Mus musculus: one gene and its partners. The protein of the gene in region 1 purifies or fractionates together with the protein of each later gene. This does not show direct contact. Links are inferred from orthologs where the notes say so. Each region holds a gene or a part of one and is shown in the gene's direction. Other genes may lie near its edges. The genes, in order: Dnmt1, Parp1, Daxx, Hdac1, Snai1, Hdac2 and Ezh2.

The links.
Region 2: the proteins of Dnmt1 (region 1) and Parp1 purify together in Homo sapiens (affinity purification with western blotting; 4 studies listed by BioGRID and IntAct, with this or other methods). This does not show direct contact. The link is inferred for Mus musculus from reciprocal best matches to the Homo sapiens genes DNMT1 and PARP1.
Region 3: the proteins of Dnmt1 (region 1) and Daxx purify together in Homo sapiens (affinity purification with western blotting; 4 studies listed by BioGRID, with this or other methods). This does not show direct contact. The link is inferred for Mus musculus from reciprocal best matches to the Homo sapiens genes DNMT1 and DAXX.
Region 4: the proteins of Dnmt1 (region 1) and Hdac1 purify together in Homo sapiens (affinity purification with western blotting; 11 studies listed by BioGRID and IntAct, with this or other methods). This does not show direct contact. The link is inferred for Mus musculus from reciprocal best matches to the Homo sapiens genes DNMT1 and HDAC1.
Region 5: the proteins of Dnmt1 (region 1) and Snai1 purify together in Homo sapiens (affinity purification with mass spectrometry; 3 studies listed by BioGRID, with this or other methods). This does not show direct contact. The link is inferred for Mus musculus from reciprocal best matches to the Homo sapiens genes DNMT1 and SNAI1.
Region 6: the proteins of Dnmt1 (region 1) and Hdac2 purify together in Homo sapiens (affinity purification with western blotting; 3 studies listed by BioGRID). This does not show direct contact. The link is inferred for Mus musculus from reciprocal best matches to the Homo sapiens genes DNMT1 and HDAC2.
Region 7: the proteins of Dnmt1 (region 1) and Ezh2 purify together in Homo sapiens (affinity purification with western blotting; 6 studies listed by BioGRID and IntAct, with this or other methods). This does not show direct contact. The link is inferred for Mus musculus from reciprocal best matches to the Homo sapiens genes DNMT1 and EZH2.

What each region holds. Positions count from the first base shown.
Region 1 is NC_000075.6:20,950,153-20,954,483, reverse strand, and holds the start of Dnmt1 (DNA (cytosine-5)-methyltransferase 1), read left to right. Parts: upstream 1-1,504; 5' UTR 1,505-1,537; coding exon of another isoform or gene 1,538-1,696; coding exon 1,697-1,776; intron 1,777-1,860; exon of another isoform or gene 1,861-2,638; intron 2,639-4,331. UniProt on the Homo sapiens protein: Methylates CpG residues. Preferentially methylates hemimethylated DNA. Associates with DNA replication sites in S phase maintaining the methylation pattern in the newly synthesized strand, that is essential for epigenetic inheritance.
Region 2 is NC_000067.6:180,571,554-180,575,449, forward strand, and holds part of Parp1 (poly [ADP-ribose] polymerase 1), read left to right. Parts: intron 1-2,098; coding exon 2,099-2,264; intron 2,265-3,896. UniProt on the Homo sapiens protein: Poly-ADP-ribosyltransferase that mediates poly-ADP-ribosylation of proteins and plays a key role in DNA repair.
Region 3 is NC_000083.6:33,912,309-33,916,350, forward strand, and holds the end of Daxx (death domain-associated protein 6), read left to right. Parts: coding exon 1-61; intron 62-279; coding exon 280-499; intron 500-964; coding exon 965-1,418; intron 1,419-1,497; exon of another isoform or gene 1,498-1,534; coding exon 1,535-1,754; intron 1,755-3,034; coding exon 3,035-3,094; 3' UTR 3,095-3,282; downstream 3,283-4,042. UniProt on the Homo sapiens protein: Transcription corepressor known to repress transcriptional potential of several sumoylated transcription factors. Down-regulates basal and activated transcription.
Region 4 is NC_000070.6:129,532,356-129,536,251, reverse strand, and holds part of Hdac1 (histone deacetylase 1), read left to right. Parts: intron 1-1,525; coding exon 1,526-1,638; intron 1,639-3,896. UniProt on the Homo sapiens protein: Histone deacetylase that catalyzes the deacetylation of lysine residues on the N-terminal part of the core histones (H2A, H2B, H3 and H4).
Region 5 is NC_000068.7:167,536,486-167,541,174, forward strand, and holds the start of Snai1 (zinc finger protein SNAI1), read left to right. Parts: upstream 1-1,709; 5' UTR 1,710-1,804; coding exon 1,805-1,886; intron 1,887-2,185; coding exon 2,186-2,713; intron 2,714-4,689. UniProt on the Homo sapiens protein: Involved in induction of the epithelial to mesenchymal transition (EMT), formation and maintenance of embryonic mesoderm, growth arrest, survival and cell migration.
Region 6 is NC_000076.6:36,998,267-37,002,507, forward strand, and holds the end of Hdac2 (histone deacetylase 2), read left to right. Parts: intron 1-147; coding exon 148-303; intron 304-2,102; coding exon 2,103-2,160; intron 2,161-3,262; coding exon 3,263-3,293; 3' UTR 3,294-3,622; downstream 3,623-4,241. UniProt on the Homo sapiens protein: Histone deacetylase that catalyzes the deacetylation of lysine residues on the N-terminal part of the core histones (H2A, H2B, H3 and H4).
Region 7 is NC_000072.6:47,553,489-47,557,384, reverse strand, and holds part of Ezh2 (histone-lysine N-methyltransferase EZH2), read left to right. Parts: intron 1-1,234; coding exon 1,235-1,355; intron 1,356-3,120; coding exon 3,121-3,261; intron 3,262-3,896. UniProt on the Homo sapiens protein: Polycomb group (PcG) protein. Catalytic subunit of the PRC2/EED-EZH2 complex, which methylates 'Lys-9' (H3K9me) and 'Lys-27' (H3K27me) of histone H3, leading to transcriptional repression of the affected target gene.

The sequences.
Region 1 (4,331 bases):
GTGCTCTTAACTACTGAGCCATCTCTCCATCCCCAGTGCCTCAGGATTTTTAAAGTTAGGTTTGTTGGGAAAAGTTCTTTAACAATTTCACATTTGTGTACATGTGCGTGGGTATGTGATGTCAACTTACACACATGGTCAGAGGGAGACTACTTCTGGCTCAGTTCTCTCAGCTGTCTTTCTGGTCCTCGGTCATTCTTTTATTCATCTGGTGCTAGGGATGACTCCCAAGGCTTCTGCTGTGAGGTTAATATTCTGCTGTTGAACTGTATATTCTAAATCCTTCCATACCATGTGGAAGGTAAATAGAAAATATCATTTCTCTGCGATCTGCTTTTTTTTTTTTTATTAAACCCAGATGGCAGAAGTGGTTCCTGGCCTTACCACTATACTACTTCATTGGTATATTGGTCCAGTTCACTTCTGAATTATCTTTTTAAGGAGGTGATTTCAGCTCTGATAGATGAAGCCACTGAGGAAGAGTCCAGATGGTGTGCTCATGGTCGTTTTAGAGGACAAGGGGGTGAAGATGGGGTTAGACGGGAGGCCTTTTGTTTAAGGGTTCATGTATTTCTTACCAAAATGGTAACAAAAGATGAGCAGAAGGGGAGGGGGATAGAGTTATGCCTATAGTTTCTCCTTCTGAAGATGTAAGTTCCAGAAATATGGATCATGGACATATAGTTAGACACTACAGAACCACACATTTCATCTTCCAGTGAAGATGGTAGTTACAGTGGGGCATACCCATAAATCCATCACTCAAGACCAGAGAGAGGCAGGAGGTCTGAACTTTAAGATCAACCATATTATCTATTGTATAGATAGTAAAGTCAAGCCTATCTTGGGTTAAAAAATTGTTGGTGCATTTAAGAGCAGTGTCCACAGCGGCCTTCCCCTGGAAGTGGAGTTACAGGGCTTCGAGTGGCTGGATGTGGGTGGGTGCTCTCCAGGGAGGAAGCTAGCCACTGCGCAGACAAGCCCACTTTTGTTTGTTTTGTTTTGAGACTGGCTTTCTCTGTGTGGCTCTGGCTGTCCTAGAACTCCACTGTATAGACTTGGCTGACCTCAAACTGAGATCTGCCTGCCTCTGCCTCCTTAGTGTAAGGGACTGCAGGCATGCGCCACCACCGCCTACCTTTTTCCTTTTTCAAGAAGATTTTGTTTTTAGACCAGGCTCAATACACAGAGATCCTCTGGCTTTTGCATTCTGAGTGCTGGAATCAAATGCATGCATGCCACAGCCTCTGCCAGACTCAAAAGATTTTTTTTTTTTTAAAGTTGTGTTTGTGCATGTGAGTGCAATGCCCATAGAGGCCAGAAGAGGCTGTAGGACCCCCTGGAAGTGGAATTACAGGGGCTTGGAGCGGCTGGATGCGGGTGCTGGCAAGCAAACCAGAGTCATCCTCTGCAAGAGCAGCACTACCTGCTCTCAAGTGCCGAGCCACCTCTTCAGGCAAGGGGGAGGTGGGTGGCGCCAGTCGCAGCACGGACGAGCCCACTATAGCCAGGAGGTGTGGGTGCCTCCGTTGCGCGCATGCGCACTCCCTTCGGGCATAGCATGGTCTTCCCCCACTCTCTTGCCCTGTGTGGTACATGCTGCTTCCGCTTGCGCCGCCCCCTCCCAATTGGTTTCCGCGCGCGCGAAAAAGCCGGGGTCTCGTTCAGAGCTGTTCTGTCGTCTGCAACCTGCAAGATGCCAGCGCGAACAGCTCCAGCCCGAGTGCCTGCGCTTGCCTCCCCGGCAGGCTCGCTCCCGGACCATGTCCGCAGGCGGTAGGTGCCACGCAGGGTGGGGGTGAGGGGCGGGACCGATGCCGAGGCATATATTGGGGGTATCTCCGGGTGGCCCTGCGGCCGCTGACAGCCAGGGCGCGCATGCGCGGGGCAGCGTTTGGCGCGGGCTGTGCTTCCTGTCGCGCGTGCCCTTAGCTGTTGGCGCCAAAATGGGTGGGGGCCGGGGTGCTGGCAAGCCCATTGACTGGGAGCTTGAGGGAGCAAGGGGATCAGCCCTCTGAAATAGAACAAGCTTGGGGACACCCTCAGGGGTTCCCCTCTTTGGTCAGCCAGGCTCCTGGGTGTGCAGGAAGTGCCCCTCTCCCGGCCTGTGGACACCCTGAAGCCCCCACTCCGCTCCAGCCTCCACTTCCGGTGCCCTGCAGATCCCGCCGCGCCCACCCGAGGGTCCCTCCGCCGGTTCCCCTGGCCCTGGTTCAGAAGGGCCCTCCTTCCCAGCCCCGCTGTCAAGTCCTAGGACCTTTTCTCTCTCATCCTGCCGGGCCGGGCCTGGGCAGCTTGAAGCCCTCGTGGGATTTTGTTTTGTTTTCATCCTAACGTAAAGGAGCTCCTGCGATCCTGGAGCTATCAAAGAGACTCTGCCTGGAAAGAGCTGGTGCTGCAGAATGGGCCCTCCACTTTGGCAGTGACATAACTCTGTCCCGAGATCCCAGAGCAATCGAGGAAACCTTTAACTCCATTCAAAGTGTTTATCAGGGGGAAGGAAAGATGAATGGTAGTGAGATGTCTCGGCCCCCGCCCTATTATTTTAGCCCCTGTAAACCAGTTCTTTCGGTCCTGGCGCCATCGAGGAAGCTTTTTACATTGTCCAGTGTTTATTTCGAGGAGTGAGGGATGGCAGGTAAAGTCCCCCATTTCAGTGCATATGAATCCCCCCTCTCCCCCCCCCCTCCCCAAGCAATCAAGGAAGACCTGGGTAATGGGCCCTCCACTAGTACCTTCCACGCCTCCATGAGGACGGCTGTGTGCAAGGATTGGCGGGAACACTGGATCCCGCTTCCTGTTCCAGAAGGGCATCGTCAATCCGTTCATTCCTGAAAGCTTGTCCCGCGCGTCATTGAGCATTAGTCATAGGTGCCCTGCTAGTGCTGGACACATCCCAACCCGATTCTGAGTCTGCTTTTGCTATCCCGGGGGTTAGTTTACTGGGGTGATGCCAGGCCGATTCCCATTTGAGCTTTGGGGGATAAAGTGGGAGAAGCGGCTGAATTCCCCTTGTCAAACACCCCTGCCCCCAGCTCGCCCCCAGGGTTGGACCTGAAGCTCTGTACTGAGCTACACCTTCAGCCCTTTCACTTGTATTGGAGACTGGCCTGGGATTCTCTCTCTCTCTCTCTGCCTGTGTCTTCTCAGTGCTGGGATTACTGACATGTGCCATCATGATGGTTTGGGTTCGTTTTTTGAATGCTTGTTTTTTGATTGTATAGGCATAAAAATCTGAAGCCTTTGTGAGACACCTCAACAGATTTCTTTTTACTACCAAAAAATACATACATAATTAAAGTATTTGGTTTTTTAAAGTTAGACAGTCTGTAACCTGCCTTTCTGTCTTTTGTCTTTCCTGTTCTCGGGTTGGTTGGTTTACCTGTGTATGCTTTGTTTTCATTTCCAGGAAGGGATTCCTGTAGGCCAAGCTAGCCTCCGGCTGGCCGTCTAACCCAGGCTAGCCTTGGTCTTTTGTATCTACCCAAGTGCTGGGATTACAGGAATGTGACACTGTGCCTAGCTTAGCTTTTCTTGATTTAGAAAAACTTACTAGCAAAATATCTACAGTATGAGATTTGAGAGGTACCTGCATTTGGGAGGATAGTCCAGGAGCTGAGTAGGCCTCGAGGTAGCTTCCGTCCATGCTGCTATTCTGTATTTAAATGGCAGTTTGTTTAAATAGAAGTGTGCATAGTTCCTCTGGATATATAAAATATAGTATCTTCAACATTTGGATTGTAAGTCTTTAAGTGTGTATGTGGGTCTATGCTACAGCTTGTGTGGCAGTCAGGACCCCTTGCAGGAACTGGCCTTTCCACAAGATTCTGGGTATGGGAACTCAGACCATCAAGCTTGGTAGCATTCCTCTTATCTCACCAGCCCCAGACTGACAGTTTCTCTGAAATATAGTAAACCTTGTGTCATTCAAAAATCAAATCATGCTTTTTAGTGAGATGTTGTGGCCATGGCCTGTAACATCAGGAGGCAGGAGCAGGAGGGTCACAAGTTAGAATTCAACTAAGGTCTCATTTCAGACATTCACACCTTGCAAGGTGAGGGATTTCTTTTCCTGAGCAGGGGGTGTCCTTTCCATAGCTGAGATTCCTTGGTTGGCATGGGTTTTTCATTTCTTTCAGTTTTTTTAAATTAAAACTTGTTTTCCAGGCACGGTTTCTGTGTAGTTCATCTGGTCTTGATCTTGCCACGCTCGTGCCTCTGGAGTGATGCGTGTTACATGCTTGGCTTGCTTTTAACTTATTTTTTGTTAAACCTGTGTATAAGTGGTGTGTGTGATATACATATATACACATATATATGTACATATACAC
Region 2 (3,896 bases), on another chromosome or scaffold:
GTGAACCTTGTGGTTGTTGGAGGCTGGGTCTAAGTCCTGGATTCTGTACCTGGCCTATTTCACGCCTCCTAGATAGAGACAAACAACTTAGGATGTCGGCCATTCCCACCAGTCCTCCCCAGGCCTTGGCATGGTCAGGGCTTTGTTTTTCTTATGGAGTATGACTTCTCTGTTTTTATGTATTTATTTATGTATATGACTACACAGCGTAGCTGTACAGATAGTTGTGAGCCTTCATCTAGTTGTTGGGAATTGAATTTAGGACCTCTGCTCGCGCTGGCCAACCCTGCTCTCTCAGGCCCGAAGATTTATTTATCATTATACTTAAGTACACAGTAGCTGTCTTCAGACACTCCAGAAGAGGGCGTCAGATCTCATTATAGATCTCATTACGTCAGATCTCATTACATGGTTGTGAGCCACCATGTGGTTGCTGGGATTTGAACTCAGGACCTTTGGAAGAGCAGTCAGTGCTCTTACCAGCTGAGCTGGTTTTGTATCAAGTGCACCATTAGGGAGTACTTCTTGGTGTCCCCAGTTTAGGGCACCCAGTCTGGGGGTGGTAGGTGTTTGTTCTTGTAGAGCCATAGCTATAGGCTGAGGCAGGCGGCATAAGCCATTTGCCACAGGGGTCGGGGATCTGAAGCTGCTGATCCGATGGAGTGTCTCGAGCCAGAAGCTGAGTCCGCTCAAAAACACCATTTATTATCTGGTCTAGGGGCCATCTTTGCTGCCGGTCCCCCACCTTCCTCCTCTGCCTGACTGGGGACAGATTCTGTCTCAGTAAAACTGCCCTGAGGGCAGCAGTGGGCGGGGCCTTGAGGCACCTGAGGAGGCTAGCAGGGCGTCTTCCTTTCAGGAGCCTGCCCGAGCACATAATTCCTATTGGGTCACCTAGGCAGATCTTGCCTTGCTTTTTAAAGTTTTTGAATGAGTGTCTTGCCTGCATGTTTGTCTGTGCATCTCCTACCTGGTGCCAAGAGAGGTCAGAAGATGTCAGATCCTCTGAAACTGGGGTTACAGATGGTTGTGAACGACCTTCTGGGTGCTAGGAATAGAACCCAGGTCCTGTAGTGGAACAACTTAGCCACTGAACTGTCTCCTTAGCCAACTCTGCCTTGCACTGTAATGTAACTAAAAGGAGGCTGACTCTAACCTGAAGCTTCAGGGGATCTCTTCAATACTGCTTATGTGTTTTCCCTCTCTGCCCTTTGAAGCAGCCCTAATGAGCACTCACCTCAGTGGGTCAGAAGGCAGTTCGTGTCAAGTAGCTCTTCTGAAGTTGGGGTGGGGGAGAACTCAGTATCAGATTCTTGTCCCATTCGCCTCACTGTGTCTCCATTGTTGCCACCATCTGTGAGCTGCTGCTGCTGTTGCTGCGGTGTTCCCAGAGGAAACTGGGTTAATGTCGTTGTCTCCCTCATCTCAGGCTGTCACCATCTCTAAAACAGGCAACCCTGGGTGTAGAGCCTCATAGGCGAAAAAAGTGGCCCAGTGCCTTTACCTCAGGCACATTGGGGGATCAGGTGCCTCCCTGAGGCCAGTATTCAGCCTATCTCCAGGCCTGGAAGCCTCTGCCTCAGGCTCCTTGTTCCCCTTGCAGAAGCCGTTCCTTCTATGCACCTGTGCATGTATGCCTTGCTGTGTCTGACACTCTGCTGACACATTTTCTCTGCCTGGTTCATTATCTAGGTCCCGTTCCTTATTATTTTTAACCACAGAGGTACTTAAGAGCCATTTCTGGGCCATCCAGACCCTTGAGTTCAAGTGCTGCTTCCTGGCTCTTCTAACAGGTCTACGGGACACTTTAGGAATTCTGTGTGTCACACCAGGCTGTGCAGTAAAGTCAGAATGTGGCACACACAAGGAACCGGGGTTACCCTGTCATCCTGAGATGGATTTGGGGGTGGCCAGCCATAAGTTTTAGCTTTTAGGAAAATACCCAGGATGAGAAGCCAGAAGCTGTTTCTCATCCATTTGCCAGTCACCATGTGACCTGAGAGAGCATCAGGCAGCCTCTGTTGCTGCCTGGGCTGGGGGCAGGATTGTGGCCTGCATGGAGACTAACGACCCCTCACCTCTGCTTTATGTTCCTTAGTCACCCATGTTCGATGGGAAAGTCCCACACTGGTACCACTTCTCCTGCTTCTGGAAGGTGGGCCACTCCATCCGGCAGCCTGATGTTGAGGTGGATGGCTTCTCTGAGCTGCGCTGGGATGATCAGCAGAAGGTCAAGAAGACGGCCGAGGCTGGAGGCGTGGCAGGTGTGTGGCCAGGGGTTCAAGCGCTCTCTCTCTATCTGCTGAGTTGCTTCTGTGGCTCCTCCTCGGGCCGTGTTGACTCTTGTGTGAGGTTTGGTGTCTTATCTTCCAGATGATGGAAAGGAAGACTTTAAGCTTGCATGGATTTTTTTTTTTAATAGGTTTTAATTTTTTATTTTATTAGTTGTGGGTGTATGTGTGTGTATGTTAGTGCATGCACACGTGTGTGGTACAATATGCATGTGGAGGTTAAAGACAGCTTTACTGGGTTGGCTCTCTCCCACGGGCTCCAGGAATTGAACTCAGATCGCCAGGTTTGCATAGCACGTGCTTTAGGAAAACTGAGAGAAACACGAGAGCAAAGCGCTCCCATAGCCACCCCACCCCCACCAGTGCGTCTGATAGAACCTAGTGGGGAAACCCCCACTCAATTCCCGATTCGGTATGCACCCAAGAATCACGAACGGACGACCATCTTGATGTAAATACATGAGGACGTTTAATTACAGAGCTCCGGACCGACATGTATCCCACACAGGAGATAACGGATGTAAAGCTAGGGGTTTTTATGGGGTGAGGGGCTTAGGGGTGTGGAATTCAGCATAGCGACACACTATTGGCTTATTCTAACATTAACAGAAAGATTACATGTCAGCAAAAGGGCATCAGAACTTTGTTCCTGTGGGCTGGGGGCTTATCTTGTTCACATAGCAACCAGTTGATGTATGACTTGGCGTCGAGGGGCAGTAGACAGAGGGGAGGTTCCGGCCAGGTGGTGTTGACCCAGACAAGATAGCCCTGTTTGTCCTGCTTTGTTCTCGGCCTCAGACCGAGGGCTCATAGACAACTCTTTCACATGAATCACAAGTTACAAAATCTCATTTTCTTTCACATTGATGTCCTTTGCTGATGGTGTGTGTTCTGTGGGCTTGGATGGATGGATGGATGGATGGGTGGGTGGATGGATGGATGGATGGGTGGGTGGGTGGACGGACGGATGGATGGATGGATGGACGGACGGACAGACAGACGGATGGGTGGGTGGGTGGGTGGGTGGGGGGGTGGATGGGTAGGTGATGTACCTACCACTGATGACTTCCAGGTCCTGTACACGGATGGTACCCAGGAGGAAACCTCTGCCAATTCCTTCCTCCTTCTTGTTTGGTTTTTTGGTTTTTCGAGACAAGGTTTCTCTGTGTAGCCCTGGCTGTCCTGGAACTCACTTTGTAGACCAGGCTGGCCTCGAACTCAGAAATCCGCCTGCCTCTGCCTCCAAAGTGCTGGGATTAAAGGCGTGCACCACCATGCCCAGCTCCTTCCTTCCTTCTTAAAAACAAACAAAAAACAGACCTTCGGCAGGCAGATCTCTGTGAGTTCAAGGACAGCCAGTGATATATAGGGAGACCACATCCCCAAACAAATAAATACAGACTGCAGAGCCAGCATTCCTCCTGAGTGCTGAAATTGCAGGTGTGCGCCTTCAACCCCTGGCTTCTGTTCTGACTTCTAACTTCGTGGGTTAGAGTTGCCTGGGTTTTGTTTCAGGGAGAAAAGGAAATCTATGCGCTTTCTTCTCTGCTGCTTCATTCAGCGCGATGCCCTTGGTCCTGCTCTGCGGCCGAACGGAAGGGTGTT
Region 3 (4,042 bases), on another chromosome or scaffold:
GCTCTTAGGCACCGCCCCCCAACCTTCAGACCCCCCCAAAGCCTCCTCGGAATCTGGTGAGGTATGGAAGGGTTAACTCAGATCTTGTCTGCGCCCTGCACTGCCACTAGGCACTCCAGGGTGACTCCTGGAGCAGCGTATGGAAGTGGGGAAAGAATATTGGTGATGTGCTTGCCTTGCAGTCTCGCAGTCATGAGCTCCCAGAGTTGAGTCCTCCTCCTACCAATCAAAAAGCTGTGGGGCACGGGATTCCTTAAGAGAGACTGCTCTTTCCCTCAGGGTCCTAGCGGAATGGCATCCCAGGAGTGCCCTACTACCTCCAAAGCTGAGACTGATGATGACGATGATGACGATGATGATGACGACGACGAAGATAACGAGGAAAGTGAGGAGGAGGAGGAGGAGGAAGAGGAGGAGAAAGAGGCTACTGAAGATGAAGATGAGGATCTAGAACAGTTGCAGGAAGATCAGGGGGGTGATGAAGAAGAGGAAGGAGGAGGTATATGCGTAAACGGAGCTCCTCTGTGGGGAGCATCCTTGTGGTGTTAGTTCTGCTCTGTCGGACATGAGCTCCTTGTTGAGCCTTTCCCTCCCTTCCTCCCTCCCTCCCTCCCTCCCTCCCTCCCTCCCTCCCTCCCTCCCTTCCTTCCTTCCTTCCTTCCTTCCTTCCTTCCTTCCTCCTCCTCCTCTTCCTCCTCCTATGCCCTTTTTTTTTTTTTTAAAGATTTATTGATTATTATATGTAAGTATACTGTAGCTGTCTTCAGACACACCAGAAGAGGGCGTCAGATCTCGTTACGGATGGTTGTGAGCCACCATGTGGTTGCTGGGACTTGAACACTGGACCTTTGGAAGAGCAGTCCGGTGCTCTTACCCACTGAGCCATCTCTCCAGCCCTCTCCTATGTCCTTTGCACAGCCCCTCTATCCCTGTTCCTCATCCACCCCTCCCCTTTCTTTTCCAGATAATGAAGGAAATGAGAGTCCCACATCGCCTTCAGACTTTTTCCATAGAAGGAATTCAGAGCCTGCAGAAGGGCTCAGGACCCCCGAGGGGCAGCAAAAGAGAGGACTGACAGAGACCCCAGCATCCCCGCCAGGGGCATCCCTGGACCCTCCCAGCACTGACGCTGAGAGCAGTGGAGAGCAGCTCCTCGAGCCGCTCCTGGGAGACGAGAGTCCTGTGTCCCAGCTCGCTGAGCTAGAGATGGAAGCTTTGCCTGAGGAAAGGGACATTTCCTCCTCCAGGAAAAAGTCGGAAGATTCCCTCCCCACCATCTTGGAAAATGGGGCAGCTGTGGTTACCTCTACATCTGTCAATGGGCGTGTCTCTTCTCACACTTGGAGAGATGCCAGTCCCCCCAGCAAGAGATTTCGGAAGGAAAAGAAGCAACTGGGCTCTGGACTGTTAGGAAACAGGTAATAGTGGGTGAGGAGGAAGGCAGGCAAGGAGGCAGGACTCTCTGAAGGGAGCCTGATGTCCTAGGTCTCCCTGCAGCCTCAGGCCCTTTCTGTCATTTTTCTTCTGTCCTTAGCTATATAAAAGAACCGATGGCACAGCAGGACAGTGGGCAGAACACAAGTGTCCAGCCTATGCCATCCCCCCCCTTGGCCTCTGTGGCTTCTGTCGCTGATTCCTCCACAAGGGTGGACTCTCCCAGCCATGAACTGGTGACCAGCTCTCTGTGCAGCCCTTCTCCATCCCTGCTTCTCCAGACACCCCAGGCTCAGTCTCTCCGGCAGTGTATTTATAAGGTGAGTGGGCAGTGTCCCCTGGCACTGCATTCTCACCCTTTCCCTTTCTGTGGGTATTGCACCTCCTGCTCCTCTGTTTTCCCCATCTTCCTGCCCGCCCGCAAGTGCGTGCACGTGCATGCATGCTTGTGTAGTGACAGTTTTGGAATTTTGGCGTCTTTATAACAACTCAGAGCTGAGTGGTAGCGACACATGCCTTTGATCCTGGGAGGCAGAGGCAGGAGCATCTCTCTTGAGTCTGAGGCCAGCCTGGTTTACAAAGTGTGTCCCAGGACAGCCAGGGCCACACAGAGAAACTGTCTAAAACCCAAAAACCAACTAACTGACAAACAAAAAACCAGTGAAATAGGTTTTCATTTTAATCCCGGTGTGGAGTGTGGGGCTGCTTCCAACTGACTGTGACTGTGAGCTCTAGAGGTGTGGCTTTACCAGCTACAGATAGTTGCTTTGGTTGTGTGAAGTGATGTTTGGAATTCTGGGAACTTTTCAGGAGAGCATATAAATGGCAGAGCCTCCCCACCTTCCAGGAAGCATGGTTGGTGGTAGTACAGGGGTTGGTTGTGGTTTGTTAGTAGTCTTGCTCAAAGAACAAACAGGAAGAGAGACATTAGAATCAGAGATCCTGTCTCTCCTGTCTATCCTTTCTTTTCTATCTAGTGATGGGGGCGGATAAAGGGGAGGAAAAAGAACACACAAAGTCTCAAAGACTGGCTGTGTGTGTGTGTGTGTGTGTGTGTGTGTGTGTGTGTGTGTTTAGGTTTAACCCCATCAACCAGGAGGCAGAGGCATACAGGTCTCTCTAACTTCAAGGCCACAGTCTAGTCTACCCAGTGACAGTCAAGGTTACATAGTGAGACCATGTAAAACAAAACAAAAAAGACTTATTTTATGTAAATAGGTGTTTTGTTGGCATGCATACCTATGTGCTACATTTGTGTCTGGTGCTCATGGAGGCCAGAAGAGGGCGTCTGATCCTATAGATCTGGAGTCACGGAGAAGGCAGAGAGCCGCCATGTGAGACTGGATACAACACTCGGGTCTTCTGCAAAGCAGCTGCGTGCTTAGTGGCTGAGCCATCTTCCAGCCTTCCATCCTGCTTTGTTTTGTTTCTGAGACAAGGTCTTTCTATGTAGCCCTGACTGTCCCAGAACTCTGTATGTAGTAGATCAGGCTGGCCCCAAACTCGGATATCAGCCCGCCTCTGCCTCTTGAGTGTTCGGACTAAAGGCGTGAGCCGCCATGCCTGGCTCACCCTTCTTTCTCCTCTGACTTGTCTGCAGACCAGTGTGGCCACACAGTGCGACCCGGAGGAGATCATCGTGCTTTCAGACTCTGATTAGCAGGCCCCATGCTCCCCGTGCTCCCTGCATCCAGAAGGTTTTTTGTATGGCTGTTGGAAGATGATGGAGTAAAAGATGGACAGAGCTCCTCCCGTTTTGATGGTGTTTCTTTTGACAAAAAAAAAAAATCAAAATGTTTTAAGTTTTACACAGACACATTAATAAACAATGAATTTCTTTTTATTGTATTCTTTCCTTTACTTTGCCTTTTCTCTTGTGACAGCTGTCACCTGGATCTGCCTTTTCTATCCTGGCTCTCTTTTTAGGGCGTCCTCATCCTTAACCCTTCCTTGAGCCTTCTTCCCCTAGGCACTTTTAAAGATAAGTGCTTCGGAAGCCTTCTTAAGCAGCTTTCCTCTCTCGTTTTGAGCGGTCTGAGTGAAAAGGCCAATCAGGGGCTGACTCAAGGTGATTTGGCCAATCCAGGCCTGGAGGAGGGGGGCGGGGCTTGGGGGGTTCTCATATGCTGGGAAAAGGGCTGTTAGATCCCGCGAGCAAGCTAACGTCCAGAGCTCGGGGTGGAGCCTGGGAAGCGGAAGCCAGCACTGGTCAATGAGACAAGGTAGGCTTGTCGGATTAAAGGGGAACGAAGGTTTCGGCCAAACCAATTCCTGAGTCCTCAGCCGCAGACGGGACCTGGTACCTTTAAGGCGGAATGAAGCGCCGGTTCTTTAAAGGAAAAGTGTCGCTGTCGGTCGACTTTTGCCCAGCGGCACAGGAGGGGTGCTGGCCTGCGCCTTTAAGGTCGCAGGTCCGGGAGGCGGAGTGGAGGCGGAAGGCGGAGGGAGTCGGCACAAGATGGCGGCGGGAGGGGCTGGGGCTGCGGCTCTGGTCGCGGAGTGAGGGGGGGGGCCCGGGGGCGCGCGGCCAGGTAAGCGGGGGCGCGCGGGGCTGGGGGCCCCCCTCAGGCTGGGGAACAGTCCGAGGGCGCGATTGGGGAGGACTGGG
Region 4 (3,896 bases), on another chromosome or scaffold:
TCAAACAGCAAAAACCTGGAAGCAGGAGCTGATGCAGAGGCCATGGAGGGGTGCTGCTTGCTGGCTTGTTTCTCGTGGTTTGCTCAGTCGGCTTTCTTACAGAACTCAGGGCTGCCACCTCAGGCATGACCCCACCCACAATGGACTGGACCCTCTGTCATTAATTACTAATTAAAATATTCTACAGGCTGGCCCATGGCCATTTTCGAAGTTGAGGTTTCTCCTCTCCAGTGACCATAGTTTGTGTCAAATTGACCTAAATCGAGCCAGCACAAGGTAGATTGAACAAATGTTGACTTCAGCCTATTGAAGTCAGAGCCCGGAGGCAAGAGGAGCCAGTAGGAGATGTTCTGAGCTGCACTTTAGGAGAAATAGCTGGTCATGATGTGGCAGGCAGAGAGCTTGAATCGAAGGCCAGGAACCAGTTAGAAGCAATTTCTGTAGCTGAAACAAGCAACAAGGAAGTTTGGTTTTATCTGTAGGCTGTGGTTATAGTCCCAGGTAGTAGTGAGTGATTTTGTCGTGGAAAAGGAATTCCATAAAGGTGCGGTGAGTTGAGTCACCACACTGCCTATTCATTCCCAGTCAATTTTATCCCATATATAGGTGTTCTAGATTCACCCTTAAACACTGGCTTATGTAGGAACCACGGGCTCTTCCTTTTATTTAAGGTGAGGAATACTCATGGAAACTAGAAATGAGCGTTAGAGTTCTGGGAGTTTGCTGGGTTCTCCCAGGAGAGTGTTTAACTGTGTTAGTAAAGCTGCTTCTCTAAGAGCTGGAGAGGTGGCTCAGTAGTTAAGAGCACTGAGTGTTCTTCAAGAGGACCAGGGTTCAATTCCCAGCATCCACATTAGGCAGCTCCCAGGAGACACCTGCACCAGCATGTACATGTCCACACACATTTATGTGTAATTGAAAAGGAAATCTTTTTTTGTTTAATTAATTAATTAATTTATTTATTTTTTTTTAAATATTTTTTTTAAATATTTATTTATTTATTATATGTAAGTACACTGTAGCTGTCCTCAGACACTCCAGAAGAGGGAGTCAGATCTTGTTATGGATGGTTGTGAGCCACCATGTGGTTGCTGGGATTTGAACTCCTGACCTTCGGAAGAGCAGTCGGGTGCTCTTACCCACTGAGCCATCTCACCAGCCCCAATTTATTTATTTTTATTGTGTGTGCATTGGTGTTTGAGGGGGTCAGACTCCCTGGAACTGGAGCCACCATGTGGGTGCTGGGAATTGAACTTTAGACCTCTGGAAGAGCAGTCAGTGCTCTTACCCACTGAGCCATCTCTTCAGTCCAAAAATAAAATCTTACAAACCGGAGAACCTGGGGGTATCTGTGGTGTCTTTAATCCCAGTACTTGGCAGAGTTAGGTAGATCTCTGAGTTTGAAGACAGTGTGGTCTACAGAGTGAGTTCCAGGACAGCCAGGGGTGCACAGAGAAACCCTGTCTGCACATGGGTGCACAGAAAAACCAAAATAAATAATAAAGCAAACTGTCTTCTCTTTCAGGGGATGTTGGAAACTACTATTATGGACAAGGGCACCCCATGAAGCCTCACCGAATCCGCATGACTCACAATTTGCTGCTCAACTATGGTCTCTACCGAAAAATGGAGATCTACGTGAGTTCCTGAGTGCTGCCCCTGCCTGCCTTGTCAGCTTGGGTTCCCTGCCTGCATTCCTTTTTGGGGGATGGGGGGGAGGGTTTGGTTTTTCGAGACAGGGTTTCTCTGTGTAGCCCTGGCTGTCCTGGAACTCACTTTGTAGACCAGGCTGGCCTCAAACTCAGAAATCCACCTGCCTCTGCCTCTCAAGTGCTGGGATTAAAGGCGTGCGCCACCACACCTGGCTCCCTGCCTGCATTCTTTAGTTTCCTTTCTCAGCTGCTCATTCATTCAGTGGCTATTATTTGGCGAGTAGATGAAGGTTCTATTTTTTTATTTTTAAGCACTTCAGTGTCAGTACGTGTAAGCTAACCAAGTTTACCGTGTCTGTGTAACAATTAAAGAATGCTAATGATAGAGAGGTGAGGAGTGAAGAACGGAGCCGTGGAGTTCCTTCAGACTGACTAGAAAGTCAAGGATGAGGCTGAGGTTCTAGCACTTTGGTGGGAGAGGTAGGATTGGGGTTTCAAGGCCACTCTGGGCAATTCACAGCCAGCCCTGGTATAGGAGACCCTGTCTCCAAAGAATGAAAACGCCTAGAACTTAGTGCAGCATTCACAAAGGGACTGGTATCCAAGTCAAGGGTTGGACAGAGGCACAGACCGAACTGAGGATGACGTGGTGTTTGGAGAAAGCAAAAGTCTTCGGGAAGTGCGCTGTAAGCCAACATGGAAGCCCAGTGTGGGTACTGCGGCGTGGATGGCTGGAGATTCAAGGCTGGCCTGGGCTACAGTCTTAAATGAGTGCGAGCTAATCTTAGCCTAGAATAAAACCCAACAACATGCTGGGTAGTGGTGCTTTGAGTCCCAGCCCTCAGGAGGCAGAGGCAGTCAGATCCCTGAGTTGAGGCCAGCACACAGTACACAGTCAGAGTATGGACTGTCTCTGACTTGGGGGCTCTTGTACCTCATTGTCTTCATCGAAGCCATAGCTGAAGGTGACCTTTGCACTTGTGACCCTCTCGGCTCCCCTCTGAAGAGCTGAGCTCCATGGTTGCCCGCAGGCACACCTTTTTATACAGCGCTGTCGTTGTCTTCCAGTGCTATGCTTCCAGCCTCAGTGTAAGCTCGTGTCTTGTTCCCACATACAGCTCTAACTAATTTTGTCTGAGCTTCCAATTTTAAAAGAAAAACTGGAACTTTGGATTATATAATACCACCTAAGTTTAAAATGTTGGCTCCATGTTTTGTCTTTGTTTTAATTTTTGGCTATAATTCCCAAATCTGTTTTTATTTTTTAGCATATGTGTAAAGAATACCAATATATGTGTAGACTAAATTTGGCTTGATTCTCAGTTTGCCTCTTCTGCAGGCAGTGCGGTACAGATTGAGAGCTTTTTTCCGTTTGGTTTGTTGAGGCAGGGTTTTGTTGAATTTGTAGTCCCAACTGGCCCCAAACGTAGGTAGTCTGGTTGCCCCCAGCCTCCCAAACACATGGTCACAGGTTGGCTTCCAGCTCAGTCTGTGGGGAGTGATGGCCTTGAGTTTCAGACCTCCTGCCTCCTTCCAAGGCCTGGATTACCAAGATTGATTTATTTATTTATTTATTTATTTATTTATTTATTTATTTATTTATTAATTATATGTAGTTACACTGTAGTTGTCTTCAGACACTCCAGAAGAGGGCGTCAGATCTCATTACAGATGCTTGTGAGCCATCATGTGGTTGCTGGGATTTGAACTCAGGAGAGCAGTCAGTGCTCTTAACTGCTGAACCATCTCTCCAGCCCCATGTCTAGTTCTTACAGCACTGGAGATTTGAACCCAGGACTTCATGAACACTAAGTATTCTGGCTGCTCTGCAGTGGCAGATACTTGTTAGCTGGGTGTGGTTGTACATACATGGCTTTGCTCCTAGTACTTGAGAGGCAGAGGTAGAGGAGTCTCTGAATTCAAGGTCAATGTGGTCTACATGTCAAGTCTCAGGCTAGCCAAGACTACATAGAGACACCTTAAAAATGTCTTAAAAAATAAAATACAGGACTGGAGAGACTGCTCAGCTGTTACGAGCACTGACTGTTCTTCTGAAGGTCCTGAGTTCAAATCCCAGCAACCACATGGTGGCTCACAACCATCTGTAATGGGATCCGATGCTCTCTTCTGGTGTGTCTGAAGACAGTAACTGTACTTTACTCATAAATAAAAGAAATATTTAAAAATTAAAAAAATAAAATAAAACAATGTAGCCAGGTGGTGGTGGCGGTGCAAGTCTTTAAT
Region 5 (4,689 bases), on another chromosome or scaffold:
GATGCCAACAACCCCGCCCTAGATAAGCGAATCAGGATGTGTCTGCCAGTGAGGGCAGGGCGGGCTTAGGTGTTTTCAGACACTCTTGAGGAAAAGCTTGGCTGAAAAACCCTAGGTGGCAGTCGGCCTAGGAAGGGAGCTTCCTGGGCGTGGAGAGTCACCTGTCACCCGTTAGGGGCTAAGTCACACCTTTCCTAAGCGGCATGCCAGCCAGCATCCATCATTTGACCAAGTTTTACTTTCAGGCCTCTGGCAGGTGTGAGGTTGTGAACAGGCCTCCCCTTGTGGGCTTCATTTGCCTTTCTCTTTCCTTCTTACTAAGCAGGCTTGGGGGAGGCTGAGGGGGTGGAGTGGGGGGCTGCTGAAACAAAGGATGAAAGGGATGAAAGGAAGCCTAGCCAGGTGTGGATCTGGAAGAGAAAACAGGACTGGAGGAAGGCAGGTACCAAGCAAGGCCCCGTGGTAGGAAAGCCTGTTCTCTGATCATAGGGGATGGAGAAAAGTCAAAACCTAGTCAGCTGACTTGTCCGTTGGGACGAGGGTGGTGGTGGGGCGCTGTGTGCTCTCCCTCTGGACTCAGGGAGACTCATGGATGAACTAAATCTACCCAGAGGGCAGTGTTCTCCACGATGGTTGCCTGTTGTCTGACCATCCTCCCACTCCCCCACCCCCCACCCCCAGTGCTGGGAGTCTGATTCTATTCCCTGTTGTTACCTCCAGTGCCTAGAGACTCGATGCTAGCTGGTGCCCCAGAGGTTTCCGTAGACCCTCTGCTTTATAGGTGTTTATAACCCCATACTATGGGGGTGTGGGTTTGGTTTCCGAGGCCACCCTTCCTCCCTGTGAACGTTCCAACACGATTTTCAGGAAGTCGGGAGCCTTAGCCCTGGTCCTTGCTACCTCTGCCTCGCACCTGCCCTTATTGGTGTTTCACAATGCAACTCTAAACACGTCCGTCCTCAGCTGAAAGTCCTTCCGTGACTCCCCAGTGCCTGTAAGGCAAAGTCCAAACTCCTCCAAAGACCCGAGGCCAGGAAATCGGACCCCTCAGGGTCTGCCCAACACCAACCTCATCCTGGAACCTGCTCTCAAAGGTTGGACAGGCAGAAGTTACTGATTCTTACCCCGGGCCTTTCCCCTCGGTGCTTCTTCACTTCCTCTAGGAAGTCATAGACACCCTCCCCTGTCAGGTGACCGTTCATTGACAGTCACAGCTGTCTCTCCCCACCTCCTTTCATCAAATCACACCTCCCTTTAGTATTCGAATCCTCTGTTTATTCTGTCTGTCTCTCTCTCCCACGGCCGGGAAGCCATCCTTGCGTAGGGCATCCCTGGGTAGTGTTTTGTTCAGGGCTGTGTAGACAGTTCCAGGAACCCCTAAGCGCGTGCATATCATCGCACTTTCTGGCTCCCCAGCGCCCAAAGGTCAGCAGCTCGGGGATGTTGCGGGGCACCGCGCTCGTCGTGGGGCAGGCGCGGCCACCAGGGGTCGCCCGAGGAGCTCGGAAGCCGCGCGGTCCGGTCCGGGAGGAGCCCAAGCGGAATCTCAGCGCCACGCGGCGGGAGCCCCAGCAGCCCAGGCGCACCTGCTCCGGTCTCAGTCTCCGGCCGCGCCGCCGCCAGCCATTGGCTCAGCCTTGACAAAGGGGCGTGACCAACAGTACGGTCACGCCCCCAGCCCTGGTACTTAAAGGAATTTGCTGCTGCTAGGGGATCGTAGTGTGCGGCCGGGCCTCGCGAGCGGAGTTGACTACCGACCTTGCGCGACCCGGTGACCCCGACTACCTAGGTCGCTCTGGCCAACATGCCGCGCTCCTTCCTGGTCAGGAAGCCGTCCGACCCCCGCCGGAAGCCCAACTATAGCGAGCTGCAGGACGCGTGTGTGGGTGCGTGGTGGGGTGCGGGACGCGGGCGGCTGGGGGGGATCCCAAGGGTGCTGGGGGGAGGTGAGAATCGGGCTCTGCGGGCGCGACAGGTGGATCTGGAGCTCCGGGTCTTGGCAGTTGGGATCCACCGAGGGTGTCTTTGACCCGGGACGGGGAGGCTCCGGGAGTTGAAGACTCGAAGGCGGGGGTAGCTTTGCGGAGTCCGGGCGGGGGAGGGGAGGGGCGGGCGGGAAGCCCCCCCACCTGGCGCCCCGAGAATCCGCTCAGCTGACTCCCTGCTGTCTCTTCTCTTCCCGCAGAGTTCACCTTCCAGCAGCCCTACGACCAGGCCCACCTGCTGGCCGCCATCCCTCCGCCCGAGGTCCTCAACCCCGCCGCTTCGCTGCCCACCCTCATCTGGGACTCTCTCCTGGTACCCCAAGTGCGGCCGGTTGCCTGGGCCACCCTCCCGCTGCGGGAGAGCCCCAAGGCCGTAGAGCTGACCTCGCTGTCCGATGAGGACAGTGGCAAAAGCTCCCAGCCGCCCAGCCCGCCCTCGCCGGCGCCGTCGTCCTTCTCGTCCACCTCGGCCTCCTCCCTGGAGGCCGAGGCCTTCATCGCCTTCCCTGGCTTGGGCCAACTTCCCAAGCAGCTGGCCAGGCTCTCGGTGGCCAAGGACCCCCAGTCGCGGAAGATCTTCAACTGCAAATATTGTAACAAGGAGTACCTCAGCCTGGGCGCTCTGAAGATGCACATCCGAAGCCACACGCTGCCTTGTGTCTGCACGACCTGTGGAAAGGCCTTCTCTAGGCCCTGGCTGCTTCAGGGCCACGTCCGCACCCACACTGGTGAGTGAGTGTGCATAGCTGAGCTCTGAGTCTGGGCTGTTTGGCCTTAGACCCTGGGGGGACTCAACACTTACTCCTAAGGCTGCCAAGCAGTGGACAAAGTAGATGTTGGTTGTTCTCCATTCTGTACCTTGCTGTTCGAGGCTAGGAGTGAAGAGGTGTTCCCTATCCGGGCTCAACCCACACTGTAGAAGTCAGACAGGATATTGCTAGACAGGATATTCTGCACCTGGCCTTGAATCCTGAGTCGAGAACTTCCCCAGTTTCCTCGTTTCTAAAATGTATCAGAGAACACTTCGTGGGGTCTTTGTAGAGTGAAGTGCTAGGTGCAGGTGCCACTAAGAAATGACTTCCCAGTGACTATGAAGACGGCTCAGTGGTTAGAGCACTGGCTACTCTTCCAGAGGTCCTGAGTTCAATTCCCAGCACACATGGTAGTTCACAACTTAACTAACTGCCTGTTAAGAGTCCAGTTCCAGAGGACCTGACACCCTCATACAGACATACATGCAGGCAACATACCAATCCATGTAGGACAAGAATAGAATAGACACATCTTTTTTTTTTTTTTTTTTTTTTTTTTTTAAGAAGAGAAACAAAGACATGACTTTGCTGTCCTCTCAGCCTTGGGCCACGTGGGAAGCTTCTAGAAGTGAGGGAAGGCTTCAGCCAGGCTTGGTGGGGGTTCCGGTTGGGCTGCTCTTTGGAAAGTGTGTCAGGCTTTGGGGTAGAGCTGTGCGTCTCTTGTGGTGGCCAGCATTGGGGCAGTGAGGCCTGGGGGTGGCAGGGAGGTATTTGCAGGTCTCACTGACACCTTTATTACTTGAATAAGATTACCCGTTTCCCCCCCCCAGGCACGGATTGCCTCAGATTTAACCTATAAAAGTGTAACAGGCTGCCTCTCTCCGGCTGGGTTGCTAAGCTGTGGGGCTCTACTTTGGGGAAGAGCTGAAGCCCTCAGGGTCCTAGGCTGCCTCCGACCACCCCCCACCCCCCAGGGACTTTGTTTTGATGTAAAGGCATGGCTCAGACAAAACCCTCCTTGAAATGCACCACCCAGTTCTCTAGGAGTTCCATTGTGTGTCTTAATGGTAGCCCAGGGGGTGGGGGCCTGCAGGGTTAGAGCAGGTGCACGGGGCAGCGGTGCCCAGCACCTGTTCTTGGCCGCAGCTGCTGGCTCATTGCACGGCAGGCCCCTTTAATCCAGGGGGTATCACATGTACAGTGTCCCCCTTAGTGGCCTTTGTCCCAGCCGGCCTGGTGCCGATTTCACACTTGCCAGGAACACTATGAAGGCGTCTGGGGGTCGGGGATCTGTGAAGAGAGAGAGAGTGTGTGTGTGTGTGGGGGGGGGGGTGTCTACACTTCCTGTGCAAGCCCAGAGACTCCCAGCTCCATCCCACCCTGTGTTATCTTGAAACCTCCCTTTTGTTAAGTACTTCAGTTCGCCTGTCCCTGCTAAACGGACAGGTAGTGGTTAGGCCATTCTAGGGAGGGGGCAACACCCCTTACTTGTAGGGACCCACAGATTGCCAAGGTCCACCACCACCCAGGGCTTTGGAGCCCCACCTGTGTAGCTGAAGACTTGTGTGGGTTTGTGCCCCCTAGGGGGGCTGAAAGCGGCTCTGTTCAGTGAATACCTGCTGAGTGGGTGGATCCCGCAGGATCCCTGCTGAGATTTCCTCTATCCAGAGGCTCAGCACACCCAGGCGCCATTCCTCAGCCCCGAATTCCATCACTAGAATCCAACCAAAGGGCACCGCCTGTGGACTAGCAGGCTGGGAGGGACGGGAGGCTTGCCTTGTTTTGAAAATCCGTTTGGCATTACAGCCTCATGCTTGGCACATAGTAGGGGTGCAGCAGATGTTTGGTTTTGTCGGTATTTGTTAACTCAGCCAGACTGGGTTTAAACCAGAGACCCTCCTCCCTCTGTCTCTACAATGCTGGGTTACAAATATGGACCCCCAGGCTCAGGT
Region 6 (4,241 bases), on another chromosome or scaffold:
CACCAGTTTCATTTTGTGTGACTACACAGACATGGCTGTGTCCAGAAAGTAGGCACTTGATATATCTATCTATCTATCTGTCTTACCTATGCAATGATTGTAGAACCTGTGGCTATTATCAAATTTATAAAATCTTTTGTGTATCAGTTCGAGCATCAGACAAACGGATAGCTTGCGATGAAGAGTTTTCAGATTCTGAGGATGAAGGTGAAGGAGGTCGTAGGAATGTTGCTGATCATAAGAAAGGAGCAAAGAAGGCTAGGATTGAAGAAGACAAGAAGGAGACAGAGGACAAGAAGACAGGTCGGTTTATGTTTTGGTGACCATTTCACTTTCCCTACTTAAGGGTTGCACTGTGTCTCTTAGCGATCCTGCAGTCACACGTCTCACTTTAGGCAGGTAACTTTTCCTGGTGTAAGAGATAGTTAGTTACCGCTCATGCTTACTGTTTAGTGCTTCAGAGCTGACTTAAAGGTTTTACAGTTGTGCTCAAATTTTCTTTGTGGTATAGAAACCTTCCTTTTAATAACATAGTAGTAAACGTTACATGTCATGGGATGGGGTTAAGGGGATGACAGTAGTTACAGATGTTGGGCCTCAGAACATTTACTGTAGCTTAGGTGGACTTAGACTCAGTGCTCTTCTGCCTTGTCCTCTTATATACTGGGATTGAAGGCATGCCAGTACACCTGGCTAAAATTCTAAATAATTTATACTGGTTAAAGCTGACTTCATGTAGCAAAAGTTAAGCTACATAGTCCTTTGAAAAGTTACTTTAAGAGTGAAGACTCTTTAGGAACTGAAGAAACTAAAACTGAGGAAAGATAGGAAGGGGCAGTTTCTGGTGTCTTCCGGTATTTCATTCAGAGTGTTTATTTAGCATGCCATTACAGCACCTCGTTAGCACTCTCAGGTTTCTCATTGCTATGCTGAACTGTGCAGGGGTAAGGAGTGGGCAGTAGCCTCTTTAAACATGATAATGCTGCAAGTTTTAGTTGACCTACTAGTCAAGTGAGGCTGCCTGGCTTTACTAGGCCTCACTATATAGACATGGCTGCTCCGGCTACTTACTGGGTGGCCTTGGATTCACACCATTGTCCTTTCTCAGATGCCTGGGTGCTGGGATTACAGAAATGTGCCACCACCTCCAACTCAGTTTCTTTCTATTTTAAAATATCTTCTGCATTTTCTTTTTTTTTTCCAAATAGGAAAGTGATAAAGTAAATTGACTCTTGGTATTTTAGACAAAATACCACAATAATCTATGGGTCATAACCTCAAATAAGACCCACCACCACCCCCTCTTGGCACTGAGTAAAAATTTAGCCAGAATTATCCAAGACACTAAAATGTGAAATCTCCATTGTCGGCATGTAGATTTGTATGGGAGGTGACAGCAGTGCCCTGCAGTGTCTGCATTGCCCAAGCGTGCTGCTGTCCCTGCACCTCTCCATGAGGCCATTGCTTCATAACTAATTTACACAGAGAAAATACTCTGGCTAATCTGGGACATTTACTTTAATTACTGTATTTAAGTTATGAAGTTCAGTTTAGTAGTAATTAAAAATTTAAGGTTAGAACAATGGGATATTGTGGGCCAGCAAGGTAAAGGTGCTTGCTGCCAAGCCTGATTACATATGATCTGCATGTTGGAGGAAGACTCCTGACTTCTACAAGCTGTCTTTTGACCTCCCTATGGAAGTCATGGTGTGGATGCCCAAACATACACACACACTCTGAATAAATAAATGTTAAAAACAAAAAACATAATCTAGCCTCTTGCCTTTAGGATCACGTCCTTCTTACAGTGCAGACACAGTTCTCTTGAGCTCCTTCTGTCTTACCACTGCTTCCGTGCCTCAGTCCTTTTACAGTTTTCCCTGGAAGATACCCTTTCCTCTTACCTGAGAGTTTGTTCATTCTTTGGGACCCACATTCTAGAGAACTGTGTCTGCACTGTAAGAAGGAAGTGATCCTAAAGGCAAGAAGCTAAATTATTTTTTTGTTTTTAACATTTATTATATATACACTATATACATACATATATATATTGTGTGTCTTATATTTCAAAATAGACATCAATATTTTTCTTCTGTCTTTAGATGTTAAGGAAGAAGACAAATCCAAGGACAATAGTGGTGAGAAAACAGACCCCAAAGGGTGAGCGATGCTTGTGTCTGTAGACGTCATGCATGTCTTGGGGGTTGGGCGGGGGCATGCATACTTGAGAAATACTGGCACAGCCTGAGAACATACAATGAGTGCAGGTCTGCGTGTGGGTAACGTGCTTAGGCTATTTGACCGGTAACTTTTATGTATGCAATCGTGTTTTTCATGATGCTCATATTACTGTGCTTAGAATACTTTGATGTTAGGAGACAGGCTAGTTTAAGGAAAAAACATTGGGCTAAGTGAAAGCCTATTGGAGAATTTTGTTATCAGAATGCATGTATGGCTAGGTAGGTGAAGTGTTGCGGTAAATCTCCAACCCAAATATGCCCTGGCAATGAAACACAACTCAATTAATATGAATACATGCTGTGTGCCTAGAATGGGCAGATCTACCGCTACACTACCATCGTCAACAACTGTGAGAGCCCTTAGAACTTGCAGTTTCTCCAGGCCACGTGCTTCTGCTCCACTTTTCTTCTTCCCCCTCCTCTGCATCCTCACCCTCCCCTATTTTCTCCTCTCTCTCCCCACCTTCTTCTCCACCTTCCCTTTATCTGCCCAATCATCAGCTCTCCTTTATTTTACAAATTAGGTGGGAAGCAGGTTTATGGGAAGTAAACCTGAGTGCTGACTCATTGCTTGTTTGTAGGCCCTCACTGGAGAAGGAAGTAGCATCAAATATAATAAGTAAGCCCCAGGGCTATCCACACCTGTGAAGAGGCTTGAGTCTATAATCTCAGTCCACTGGAGAGGCTGAGCCCAGAGGATTGCCATGAATTTAAATCCACACTAAGCTACATAGTGATTTTTAAATCGTCACTCTGGGCTGAAGAATGAGAGTCTGTGTTAGAAGCAAGCACGTGTGCTTGGTCACCCAGTTGTTTGCTAATTTTGAAGGATAACTTAGAATGCTCAGTTGTAAAACAACTGGAAAGATTAAGGCTTTTATTGCTCAGAAAAAAAAGAAAAAACAACAACAACAACAACAGTGAATAGCTTGGTGTGAATCTATAAGACTGTGCAAGTAGCCAGGTCAGTGCTCCTAAACCAAGACTATTACTTTTAATATTTCATGATCCTCTTTCAACAGAGCCAAGTCAGAACAACTCAGCAACCCTTGAATTTGACTCTCCAACTTTAGGAACCTCGAAAAGTGAGACGATTCTGGGATAAGAAACCTTCCCTGTTTGAGGACATTGGCTTCATTTTATACTGTTTTGGCATGGACTGTATTTATTTTCAAAATGGCTTGTTTTTGTTTTTCTTGGCAAGTTTTATTGTGAGTTTTTCTAATTATGAAGCAAATTTTTTTTTCCACCATGCTTTATGTGATTGTATTTAAATTGATGTGTTATTATGTCAAAAGCCGGATCTATTAAAGAAACAATTGGCCTTTCTGAGCTGATTTTTCCATCTTTTGTAATTATCTTTATTAAAAAATTGTACTTGGATCGTTTTCTGTCTGTTTATTATGAAAGCTTGTTTCCAAGTCAATGACTTGATGGTCTTAAGACTGGAACATACCAAAAGGAATGTCAGTGTCAGAGACCATCACTAGATCTACACAGTGCTTACTGGCTCTAACAGCTATTTCTTACTTCAGGAAAAATAACAGTGTCACTTTGTGTCAGGAAGACTGGTATTTCATAAATTATTTCCAAATTCATAATCTGTGCACTTGGGATGAAGCAATTATTTTTGAACTGAATCAAATACTCAGAAATTGGAAATTGTGAATTGAAAAAAGAAACCTGTCCAACCAATAACTGGCCCAACTTAAGACCCATCCCATGAGCCAGCACCAGTCCCTGACACTTAATGATACTCTGTTATACTTGCAGACCGGAGCCTAGTGTGGCTGTCCTCTGAGAGGCTCCACCCAGCAGCTGACTAGGACAGATGCAGATACCCACAGCCAAACAGTGGATGGAGCTTGGGGACTTTTATGGAATAGGAGGAAGGATTTCAGGCCTCCAAGGAGATAGGAACTCTACAGGAAGACCAACTGAGTCAACTAGCCTGGACCTTTGTGGCTCTCAGAGACTGAACCACTAACCAAAGAGCATACA
Region 7 (3,896 bases), on another chromosome or scaffold:
CTGTTGCTGTAGAGTATTTTGATTTTACAAGTATAAATCCTTTTGGCATAGAATGATAAGACCATTGATAGTCTTTTATATTAGTATCAGTTTTTTTTCCCCTTGTTGTGATAAATCACCAAGACCAAGGCAACTTATAGAAGGAAGAGTTTATTTGGGCTTATGGTTCCAGGGGGATAAGAATTACCATGGCAGCCAGAGGCGTGGTGGCTGGAGGAGCATGAAGCTAAGAATCCCATTGTAACTGAATCACTAAACAGAGTGGGGAGTTGGGGATGCTGACTTGAGTGAGCCATGGAATCTTCAAATGTTATCCAGTGACATACTTCCCCAAGCAAGGTTGTACTTGCTAAACCTTCTAAACGGTGCTACCAACTAGGAACCAACTGTTCAAATACATAAGCCTATAGAGGGTGTTTCTCATTCAGATCTCCAGAGTATCACTAGATTCTTATTGTATCAAATATTTTAATTGTTAGATCACCAAATAAAGTTTTTTACAAACTCTTTGTTGATGAGTATTTGTAGTTTATTTGGATAAGCCACATATCATCGGTTCTATTACAGGTACCTTCCATTTTAGTATCTGCAATCGGAATGTCTTACACTTGAGGTCTCATGTAACCTGCAGCAGTTTCCTTTCTTAGATTAAGTGTAGTTACAGTTTTCTCTACAGATCTGGATAAAGACAAGTACTCATGGAAAATACTGGTTTTAGTTATCTCATTAACTTTTTTTGTGTGGTACCAGGAATTAAACTCAGTGTTTAGAATGCTGGGCAAGTGTATCACATTTAAGTCTCACACCGAGGGCTTAAGTTTTAAGTTTTATGTGTATGTGTCCTATGTAACTCTACACACACACACACACACACACACACACACACACACACACACACACACACACACACACGTATGTATGTATGTGTTTGTGTTTATCATGACAAATTATAGGGGTCAGAGGACAGCATGTGGGGAGTTAGTTCTCTGCCTACCACATGGGTCCCAGGGATTGAGTTCTGGTTGTCAAGCATGGTCTTTACCTGCTGAGCCATCTCTCGGGCCTTCAAGTTTTAAATAAATGCTTAAAGTCTAGTTTAAAAATTAGAATACATCTGGTTTTAACTTTTCTTTCTTTCTTCCTTTCTTTTTCTCTTTTTCCTTCTTTCTCTCTCTCTCTCTCTCTCTCCCTCTCTCTCTCGCCCTCTCTCTCTCTCTCTCTCTCTCTCTCTCAGGTGGAAGACGAAACTGTTTTACATAACATTCCTTATATGGGGGATGAAGTTCTGGATCAGGATGGCACTTTCATTGAAGAACTAATAAAAAATTATGATGGAAAAGTGCATGGTGACAGAGGTGAGCTATGTGTATATTCTCTTTAGTTGAGGGTCTGAGGGTTTTCTTGTTGCCATGACAGTGGCAGCTCTTAAAAAGGAAAGCATTTGATTGGGGCTTGCTAACTGTTGAGATGTTTATTTAGTCCAGCCGGGCGGTGTTGGCGCACGCCTTTAATCCCAGCACTCAGGAGGCAGAGGCAGGCGGATTTCTGAATTCAAGGCCAGCCTGGTCTACAAAGTGAGTTCCAGGACAGCCAGGGCTATACAGAGAAACCCTGTCTTGAAAAAACAAAAACAAAACAAAACAAAAAAAACCAAAAAAACCCCCCCCAAAAAAGTTTAGTCCATTATCATCGTGGCAGTAAGCGTGGTGGCCCGCAGGCAAGTATGGTGCTGGAGAAGGAGCCTAGAGTTCTATATCTGGATGGCAGACAGCAGGAAGAGAGAGTTACACTTAATCAATAAAAATTTTCTGGGGTGTCGCTGTGCCCCCCTTTAATCCTTAATATCTATTGGAGGTTTCTGCCTCATTTTTGTTCATGTAATTCCCAAGTAATTGACACAGAAACAGTTCATATTTATTTACAGGCTGTAATCCTATATTTGGCAGATTCTGAGCTCTTCTATATACAAACGACAGGCCCCGTGTACTTTAGTTTGCATTTTACTCAACTTGCTCTGTACCATGTGTGTCCTCAGGACCAGCTTCTCTCTCATCTTTTCCTTCTTCCTCCGGGTCTCTCTAGAAATCTTTCTTGGTTATAAGTCCTACCTTTTCTATGCCCAGTCATAAACCCAGCCATTTATTGATCAATCAGTTATTATTGGGGAGTATTCTTTGCAGTACCTGTGTTACTGCAATGCCCCAAGATCAGGTTGTAGTCTGGACCAGGGCATAGAACTCAGGTTCTGAATCCACAGGTCACAAGGCTAACCCCAACAGCCACTGGGTCTGGCTTAAGCACCTAAGACCTCAAAGCCTGCCTCCACTGACACACTTCCTTTAGCAAGGCTACACCTACCCCAACGCTACCACACTTCCTAATCATGCCACTCCCTGTGGGCCCATAACATCATTTTCATTCAGACTGTCATAGAAGGGTTTCTTAATAGAGTTCATAAAAAATCTTAAGAGCTAGTCTGGGCTTAAAGGCATACATTTTTAGTATTTCTTTAGTTTTTCCATTTGAGGATCTTATTTGCCACTTGGTAATCATCAGTAACTGGTTATAAACTACAGCAGAAACAACACATAGATTTTATAGGAATAGAGTGTGTGTTTTTTGGTAAGCTTTCAATAGTAAAACTAAGTTTAAAGATCTGTTTATGGGGCATGTGCTTCAGAAAGGCTTTCTACTCAACAATGCCTTCCTCAGGGCAGCCAGAGCCCGTGAAATTAAGTTAACAGAATCCTGGATTCAGGTTTCTGAACAGGAGGCTCTCTTGATATCTGAGCAAACGGAGATGTGGTCATATCATAATGCAAAACAGGTTTGAAGTGGTCAGTCAGTGACACAGATTGGGAGGAAGCTAAAACTACAGGTCCTTATGGATTAAGGGAGTAATATACCCTGGATCAGCTGGAGAGGGTTGATTCCTGAGAAAGCAACAGATGTTGAAGGTAAATGCTGTTTTCTTTGCTGGCTGTGAAATTGATCTTGACTATCCTTACCTGCCCCTTAGGTTACAGTGCTGATAGGCCTTCACTATTCTTCCAGATTAGAAAACATATACATAATCTTGTCATTATCTTTTTCCCTCTGTTTCTGACATTTGGCTTTTAGAATGTGGATTTATAAATGATGAAATTTTTGTGGAGTTGGTAAATGCTCTTGGTCAATATAATGATGATGATGATGACGATGATGGAGATGATCCAGATGAAAGAGAAGAAAAACAGAAAGATCTAGAGGATAATCGAGATGGTATGTTTAATACTAGTTTTTTGTTTCAGCTTTATATAATTCTTTTAAAAAAAACCTATCAGGCTGGTAAGATGACTCGGTGGGTAAAGGTGCTTACCACCAAGCTTGATAAATCGAGTTTGATCCCTGGAGCCCACTCTATAGAAGAAAAGAACTGACTCTGCTGAGTTGCCCCTGATCTTCACATCAGTACACGGTGGCATACATACACCATCTAATTAATACATGTAAATAATGTAAAAGCCACCCATGTATGGGTATAATTAAACTACCCCCTTTTTGTTAAGTGTATGATCAAATATATTTTCTGCAGCATTTCATTCTCCACTAGAGCTTCTTTGTTTCCTTTGCCTAGGAAAAGGACATAATCCTTTTTTGCACTTTGCTGATCAATTATCATAATTATCTTTATAATAATATCATGTATCTTATATAAGTTGTATACTAATATACTTATATACCAGCTTATCCTTCCACAGCTTTACAATGTATATATTATTATCAGCTCCATTATATATTGGAAATGGGTTTAGGGAGGTTAAAGGCTAAGAAACTTAAGATAGCTATATTGGGAAAAAGTAGAATCTGAGCCCCAAGTTGATGACCTAGGTCTGACCTGAGAGCTGTGCTATTGT